2 linked regions of the Kluyveromyces lactis genome follow. The protein of the gene in region 2 purifies or fractionates together with the protein of the main gene of each other region. This does not show direct contact. Links are inferred from orthologs where the notes say so. Each region holds a gene or a part of one and is shown on either strand. Other genes may lie near its edges.

The links. The genes of interacting proteins can lie anywhere in the genome.
Region 1: the proteins of CUS1 (region 2) and HSH155 purify together in Saccharomyces cerevisiae (affinity purification with mass spectrometry; 8 studies listed by BioGRID, with this or other methods). This does not show direct contact. The link is inferred for Kluyveromyces lactis from reciprocal best matches to the Saccharomyces cerevisiae genes CUS1 and HSH155.

What each region holds. Positions count from the first base shown.
Region 1 is NC_006037.1:833,775-838,663, reverse strand, and holds HSH155 (U2 snRNP complex subunit HSH155), read right to left. Parts: upstream 3,012-4,889; coding exon 147-3,011; downstream 1-146. Other genes in the region: APL6 (AP-3 complex subunit beta), read left to right, coding at 1-72; GPI-anchor transamidase subunit GPI16, read left to right, coding at 3,278-4,889. UniProt on the Saccharomyces cerevisiae protein: Contacts pre-mRNA on both sides of the branch site early in spliceosome assembly.
Region 2 is NC_006042.1:790,038-794,070, forward strand, and holds CUS1 (U2 snRNP complex subunit CUS1), read right to left. Parts: upstream 2,274-4,033; coding exon 822-2,273; downstream 1-821. Other genes in the region: peptide alpha-N-acetyltransferase complex A subunit NAT1, read right to left, coding at 1-442; BIL1 (Bil1p), read right to left, coding at 2,508-2,738; RRG7 (Rrg7p), read left to right, coding at 2,930-3,631; MCH5 (riboflavin transporter), read right to left, coding at 3,892-4,033. UniProt on the Saccharomyces cerevisiae protein: Essential splicing protein required for U2 snRNP binding to pre-mRNA during spliceosome assembly.

The DNA.
Region 1 (4,889 bases), on a different chromosome or scaffold from region 2:
GAAAGTGATGATACCGATGATATTGAAGAAGGTGAGGAAGACGACAGGAGTTCTACTTCTTCCGATCCTTGAGAGATCACTAACTTAGTTTAAAACCAATAGAATCTTTAATTTTTAACTACATAATAATTACTGCAATTTTCTAGTTATAATAACAAGTTAAGCTCTTCTACCTCATTGACAGGGTAGTACGGAACCAAAGCATCTGGTTGAGCGACGTATGCTCCGTTATATAGTTTCCAATATGCGTTCCGAACATTCTTAGCAGGATGAAATAAACCTCCCCAGGCATAATTCATAGAAACACCTGGTCCTAGAGCCATTCTTAGTCCTTCTAGCCCCTCTAGGATTCTGGAAATAACATGAGGTGAAGTTTCAAAGACGTTTGGCAATAATAAATTCATGCAATGGATGAACGCGTCCTCTAATCCTCTTCCTGCACAATTGAAAGCTAAATGCTTTATGCAGGTTGCTGCAGTTTGTCGATGAACCAAGTCCCTATCTGTTAGAGCATCCTGCAACAACGGTATAAGTGGATAAATGTAATCCTTAGACATGGGACCAATGTATTCTAAAATAAAGGCAAGTGCCTTTAAAATACCGTTCTGTACGTTTGTGTCAGGTGTTCTGTATTCATTCATCAATGCAGGTATGACAACAAATGGCCCACATGTCTTAGCAACGATACCAATTGCAATAGAGGTGTTAACACGAAGTTGACGTTCTTGCACCTTCAAATTATTTAACAACGTTACCAAAACATCCTGAGGTCCTATCGCTTTGGCAATATATCCAAATGTTCTGTTCGCTGCCACCCTGATGGACTTCACAGGACTTTTTAACATTTCCAAAAGCTCAGAACAAATGCGCATCCATTCTTTAGGAGAAACATATTCAGGCCCACGCCTGGCAATTCTTCCAACAAGTTTAACAGTAGATTCCTGGACTAAAGGATGGTTGTTTCTCAAAATTGGTGTCAATGATAGTAAAATTTGATTCGGAGGTGGTTGTAAGTCAGTTAGCCTTATCTGTGCAGCAGCTTTGTCCATTGCGGAAATGATTGCAGCTAACACCTCTGGATAAACTTCGCCTAACGATTCAAAAAGGATAATGTTGAATTTATTGATAAGAGCTGTTTCTTCACAGTGTTTGAAAACCGGGATCAAGAGGGCACATAAACTCGCCGCATGTGTTCTAACCAAAGGTTTTTTGTGTTTCAAATGTTCTAGAATAATACTTGACACCGGCGAAATATACGGTTTCATTCTGGTATTCAAAGATTTGGCGACAGTTCCAATAGATCTGTAGACAATTCTCTCACCATTCGTTTGATCTTGGAATGCAATAAGTAAAGCATCAAGCAACCTCGCTTCAAGCCTTTCATCAACATCTGTCATTCCTAATGCTTTCACAACTCTGTTAACTGCATGTGCACCCATTGTTCTGAACGGTTCAGATTCATCCTTTAATGGATATATAAGCTTTTCAAGCGTGAATGCAGCTCCAGTCTTATTAGCCAATAAAACAGTAGTAAATGTTACTATGTTGTTGAGTTGACGATCCAAAGCCGATCTACGAACCCAAAATTGTTTGAAAAACTCTGCTGCTAGCTCTTTTCTCAGATACTGAGGTGTTACACCTTCAGTCACGGAAAGCTTTTGTATAACAAATAGAACCGTTTTCTTCATATCTTCGTTCGGTGAATTGAATTCTCTCTTTACAATCTTCATCACTTCTTCAGCGTAATACGACGCATATTCGGGATCCATCAACGGAATGAGAAATCCTAGAGCCTTCAAAAATGCAGCTAGTTCTCTTCCCCTGTTTTGTTTAACACCTCTCCAAAGTGGTTCGAGGACCGGATTAAAGCGCTCAATACCATATGGCTGGCAGCTTTGTGCCAATGATGACACTGTTTGAGCGGCTATGATTCTCACTGGAGGATGTTCATCTTGAAATCCCTTCTCTATACATGCGATAAGATCGTCGAGGTATGGTAAGCTACCAATCCCTACTAAAATAGCAATTTGCTGAATTATCTTTATCCCAGTATGTCTTGCCTTCCAGCTCTTTTTCGATCTACAAACCAATCGTAGGAATGGTATTGTTTGACTTACCCCGAAGGCTTTCGATACAACGGCCATTGCTCTCGCCGTCGTGTTTCGCACATACTCATCCTCATGGTCGAGATCTGGTCTCATTGTGTATATCATTGTCGGTAGTCCCACGGCTTTTGCCAAAGTAGTTATAATATCTCTACCTGTAGATCTAGTCAAGGGCACAGGATCTATAAGCATAGGACATAATACTATTAGGAGCTTATGTGTATATGGTTTTACCAAATCCTGGAGCTGGAAAAGAATTCTATCCATAAGTTTCAACATTAGTTGATGCTCTTCATCTTCAAGTGTTTTATCGAGAAGAATGGGCAAGATCGAATCAAATAACAATGGTGCCCCGAAAGAGGGTGCCTTTTGAGTGAGTGCTCTGAGAGCTATTTTCCTAGAGCTTGGTAACCCATTTTTCACCTTAAGTACCAATTTTAAAACCTGTTTCTGTTTCCTTTCCTCTTCAGTCATATCTTCTGGAGACCTTTCATCAAACAAAATTGCGAAATGTTGTCTGTCTGAAGGCTTAAAGAACTGAAGATTACGTACCCCTGGAACTTCAGTAACCATCTCTTCCGAGAGCTCAGTTATAATATGCTGCGAAGTCTTGGGCATCGTATATCCACCGCCACTTTCCTCTTCCTTATCACCATCCTTATCGGTTTTCCTTCTTTTCACATCTTTCACTTGCTCTTCATCCACTTCTTCATCCAAATTCCTAAGGAACCTTCTCTTATGATAATCAGACTGTTTATTATACAAGCTTCGTTGCTTCTGGTTGGCTGTCAACTCATCATCCCCCTCATCTTTCCCTACAGTCGATTCCAATATGGCTCTGGGAGCAGTGTATTGTCCTGTAAGAGAATGTCGCTGGCCCGACTTTTCGAACTTGATAGCTTCCATTTTAAGTACAGCTGTTTAATACCAAACTCGGCAATAGCAATAAAGATCCTGATTGGTGCTTGCCTTTCAGTTATACCTTTCTTCCTTTTGATTCAAAGGTTCTTGACATCAAAATTGTTACTAAGTTGTAACTCGAATCTTTAATTATAAACACATATACAAAACAAAGAACGATACTTCTCAACAGAGAAAAGAGGATAGTTTAGTTAAGAGGCCAGAAAATAGCCTAACTTTTAGAAAAGTATTATACTCTGGGTCCATACCGCATGAGGTTACAAAATTGGATTCCAGTTTTGCTTCTAGCAGCCATCGTGACGGCTGAAGTAGACTTTGAAGTTAATCCAGTTGACAACGAAACAGAATCAGTTCAGCAAGATGTTATAGATGAAAGCTGGAATGCAGAGCCTGGGGAATCATCGAGAATAACACAGTCCTCGAAGTTTCTTTCACTAGAGCATCCTATTGAGTATAATTTTCGAGAGCATCTGGATCTAACTCCCTTGCCTAACAACTTTTTGCTTGCAAGTTTTCAGTTCTATATGCAATCAGAGCCATTTGGTATAGATAGAGACCAGCACGAATCCAGTGAATACTCTCATCACACAGTTTTCCCGAAGCCCGTTGGGCCCATTATGTCACAGACTAATACCAGACAGTTACACTTGAGATTTACACATGGGCTATGGGATTCACAAGAATGGGGCCAGCTTCCACACAACGGGTTGAAATCTGGAGGAACAGGTGTGGAATTATGGGCTATTGTGGAAGCACCATCGAAGGAAGAAGCGTTGAAATCATGGATAACGTTGGCCAATTCGTTAAGTGGATTGTTCTGTGCTTCCATCAATTTCATTGACACTTCAAAGACGACGTTTCCGGTATCATCATTCTTACCGAAAGAAGACGAAGCGATCCCACTACTGAATCAAAGCAACCATCTTTACCTCATGAGAGCAACTTTAGCCAACGAACCGGTTTGTACTGAAAATTTGACCCCATTTGTAAAACTTTTACCAACAAGAGGGAAATCTGGTATCTCCTCTTTGTTAGATGGCCACAAGATCTTTGATTCAAATTGGCACAGTCTGTCGATTGATGTCAATACTGTTTGTGACGAATCAACTGCCAATTGCCACTTTGTTATGGAAGAATTTATCGAAACAGTGGTCAACGTACCAAATGCTTTGGCCAGAGCTGACAGACCAATTCCGAAGCCTTTACCAGGCGACGAACTTCGTTGTGACACGAATAGACCACACGACGCGTTCCAATGTTTCCCGTTACCTCAAAGCAAAGAAGTTAGTTTCAGCATCTCAAAACTATTTGGTAAGAAAATCCGTGGAGGCAGCTTGCTTGGCGAACAAAGCTCAAAAATATGTGTTCACGTTCCCTCACATTGGGACGTTATGATACAGGTCGACGAATCATATTTTGCAACCGACGACAACTGTTTCGATCTCAACAATAACAAACCACATGATGTTCGCTTGGAAACGACAGACTCTAAGAGTGTACTACCCTCCAAAAAGACTCCAATATACGTTTCCAGAGCTCTCACTGGTTATGGCCAAGACCGTGGCGGGTTAAGATCAGTATTTCGTAATCCTTCCAACGAAGCTGTGGAATTAGTTTATTTTGAATCCTTGCCTTGGTTCATGGGAGTATACTTGTCCTCCTTAGCCATAGAGAGTGATGATCCTGAACTAACTCTAGATTCAGTAGTAAAATCTACCTTCTATTCCCCGGCAAGAGATCGTGAGAGACCGACACATTTGGAAAGGGCAATGATTATCCCGCCTAACACTGCATTCGCTATATCATTCCAGTTCGATAAATCCTTGCTTAAATATGCAGAATATCCCCCTGATGCCAACCATG
Region 2 (4,033 bases):
ATTCCAGCGCGCCTTTGAAATCATGAATTTGAGATTGCAATGTCGCCAAATCTCTATAGATTTGAGTGTTTGTAGAACCATTTTCTAATGCGGCCTTGAACCACTTTACAGCGTCTGAGTAATTTTTCACCTGTCTGTAATAAATTCCTAATAAGTGTCCACCAATTGGACTTACAAGAGTGCCTTTAATTTTGGATAACGCTTTATCAATGTAACTAGCAGCTTCTTCAGGTGTACTACAGAATTGCAAGTTCAATCCCTTCAAAATTATAGAGTCCACATGACTGCTGTTCTTCTTCAAGATTGTGTCCAAGATCTTCAACGACTTCTTGTAATTTTTACCTTCATATAGTTGCAGTGCTTCCAACATATTGCTGTCATCCTTAGACCTACCAATTGGAAGTCCCACTTTCCCGTGAGATAGTCCCTTTTTTTTATACATGCTAGTGTAGATCAATGGGTCGCTGAGTGTAGATAAGCAAGCCAGTAAGAGTGTTTCTCCATTTATTCAGTCATGAATATGATTGTTGAACTTGATAATTTTCATGATTTAGACGTTGACTATTGTAAATTTTTCAGTTTAGAGATACATTGAAAATGAAATGTTTGGGTTTGAACGAACTGAAGGTAATAGTTAGCAAGCGGAGCTGGTACGATTCAAGGAGTTTATTACTCACCTACTGCAATAAAGTTAAAACATGTTGCAATCCAATGATACTTTTGATATAGTTACATACTCACATTTACAAATATTTTACGTAATTAAAGGGAAACAGCTGACACTTTTGAAACGTAGGGTTTCTAACGAGTTAATGTAAAGATCAAAAACGGAAGTCAGGCTCTTCTTCCACTTTCTGTTTTTTATGTAAGACATTATCATCGTCCTTCTCCTCTACGCTTGTTGATCGTTTGTTCGTAATATTGTAAGAGGTAGTGGAACTGATTATTGTAGATCCGTCGACTTCGTTTGATTTAGCTTCCGTTAGAACAGTAAATAAGGGTCTATTTTCATCATAGTGCTGGTTGACTACAGAGCCTCCATCAATTGGCACTAAGCCTGAATTATTGTTTTCATGTGTCTCGCTTTCTGTTTTTGTTGCTTCCGCTTCATTGGCGTCTGAAGACACCTCATCGTCGGAAATTGATTCGTTCAACGGATCTGGATCAATATGTGCGTCTTGATCTTCTAATTCTTCAAATGAGAACATGGCTCCGAATAAGTTTTGTTTGGGTATTCTCAAAGTATCTTCAGGGTAGTATCCGTATTGTGTACCGGTAAGATTAGAGATTTCCCAATTTATTCCACAGACTTTCATACCAGGGTATGATTTGGGTAGTCCTAATCTATTCATTTCATGACACCAAGGCGGGAGCATCCCCTCCGTGAGATTTAATGCCTCCCTTAAAGTTTCCGATAGATACCCTGGTCTATATCGTGTCTTTATTTGTTTCCATTCGAGTTCACTATCCAAACTTCTGTTTTCATAATATAAATCACCAAATGACAATAGTTCAGGTTTCCAATTCTTTCCCAAAGTGAAAAATGCTTCGTACAACCTTTTATAATCTAGATCTAATACACCTAGCTTGGGTTGAACTTTTGCTCTGGTAATATCCTTCAATTTCTCTGCTTGCTTTTCGTTTCCAGAGGGAACAGTCTCTCGCATCGTTTCAATATCGGTTTGTCTAATAATCTCAGGTAATTGAAATGGCTTCCTTTCCATCATTGATCGTCCAGATAAATAACCTCTTTTCATTTGCCAATGTCTGGGGATCCCCACTGTATTATGTGTTGTCTTTATAGCTGCATTGAAATAAGGCCATTGCGCATCGCAGTCAAACCATTCGATGAGTTCCGGATATGGTACTGAAGCTTTCAAAACAGCAATACTTGGTTTGTTAGCAAGTCTCTTTTGTCTTTCTGATATATTTTGAAGTACTTCATCCGCTTGATCCTCAAAACTGTCGGAACCCTCAGCATCCTCATCGTCAATATCAGCCCGTTCTTTTCGTACTATGGCTTGTTCCCGTTTTGAATCATCATCCTCATCGGCCCCTGTAGCCGAAGCTTTAAATCTTTGTAACACTTTATTGAGACTTTCATCCTTGATAACTAAAGGTTCATTAATTACCTGTTGCGAGGTGTTGCCATTCTCTGATGACACTTGTTGTAACAAACTGGAAAGCCTCTTCTTCCTTTCTTCTGCATCCTCTTTCACAGATCCATTTTTATTCTTTGAACGGCGTTTATTAGCCTTGGCTTTCTTTACCATAGTGCAATATCTGGTGGGCAGTTGACTGTTGTTATATTAATAAGCAGTCGAGCCAGAATACTATTGTATGCTCATCTGTCAATTTGCCTTTTTTATGTCCTTTATTAAGACCACATATATTTTTCAATTAAATGTTGAAATTTATACCATTATATTATACGTGAACAGATATGGCAACATTCAACGGTCTTGTATACATGTGATAGATGCTATATGACTATGGATAATAACGAATCACTCTTCTAAATTCTTGAGTCTATCGTTGATTGAATCGGCGAATTTGTTAAATTGTACATCATCGTCATTCACTTTCCGCAGTAAGTCCTGTAACTTTTGCTGAATATCTGAGGCTATCTCAAACACGGTGGGAACATCTTCGTTGGAATTACCACTATTTTCTGATCCTTTTGGTTCAGGGGTAACAATTGGTTGTGTCGAAATCATCTTTTGAAGTGATGACTGCATGTATATGGCTGTATGTAAGCTAGATCAATAGACTTCAAGGTATGTCGGTTCTATGACATTTACATTTTTTTTAGTTATTTGAATCCGATCCAAATTTTGGTGATACAAATGATACATGGAGGTGATGAGACTAACAATGGCGAGAACGCCAGCTGGTCTATTTTGTCCATGATAGCCTATTAGGTATACAGATGAGTTGGAAAGGGGTTTTTGCAAGTTCATTTCCCAAAGATACTTTACAGAAGTATATTGCTGCCAATGAGAGCATCGCCAACTCTACCGTTTTTCAAGGTACGCTATATGAGCTCACGGTGGTACGAGAATTAATGAATAAGCTCCGACTGGAGGATATGCAGGTAGTTGGCGGTTCATATGATGGCGGCATTGATATTCGGGGCAAATGGAACGTTTTACCATTAACAAAGGCTATAGAAATGCAAATACAATTCGATGAGCTACCTAAACGTTTGAAACTTCCGACTACATCGATAAAACCATGGAAACATAGGGTGAAACCCGATAAATATTTAGACTGTTACATTCAATGTAAGGCTTTCAATTCAGATAAAGTTACTGGCCGCCAGGTACGGGAATTAATTGGATCATTCTCCATGCAAGTTCCCGCTCGTAAAAGAAACTCGAGCATAATGATAATGAGCTCTCCAACTTTGTTTACAAAAGATGGAATAAGGCTGTTTAATGAGGCCGCAATACCAATGGTATTTACCAAAGTGGATATGATCCAGAGATTAGCTGATGGAAGCTTCGATGTGAAAAACTCGGGAAAACTACAGCATTATTATGAGAATGACTATGCATCGAAATTACTTGCAAATTGTGGAATCAAAGAATGGTTAAAATTGAAAGGTTATGAGTCCTTAGCACAAAAATGAAATATTAGCACGCAATTACGCTATCAGAAAAGTTTAAATAGAATGAAACCTGTACATATGATGAATGTAATAAATATGATATGCTAATTAATTTAAAGATGTATAAATTTATAAAGGTTGTGTATCTGATTATGCAGCGCATGAAAACGAGATAGGAATGTATATAGTAGCCAGGTTAAAATTATGTATTAATGATGTCTCGATGTTGAAGGGAAGGCGTAAGTTTTAAAACAAGTTTGGGAATAGTTGTGGATGGCATTTTAGAATCTCTTCATATTGAAGCCCACTGCTAATGTCTTGGAAATCATATAACATATAGCAGAGACAAATGACGTGACACCGCACCAAATTACATAGTGGTCATAGCCCTTGAAACTCTTTTCTGGTCCGATGATGGCACCT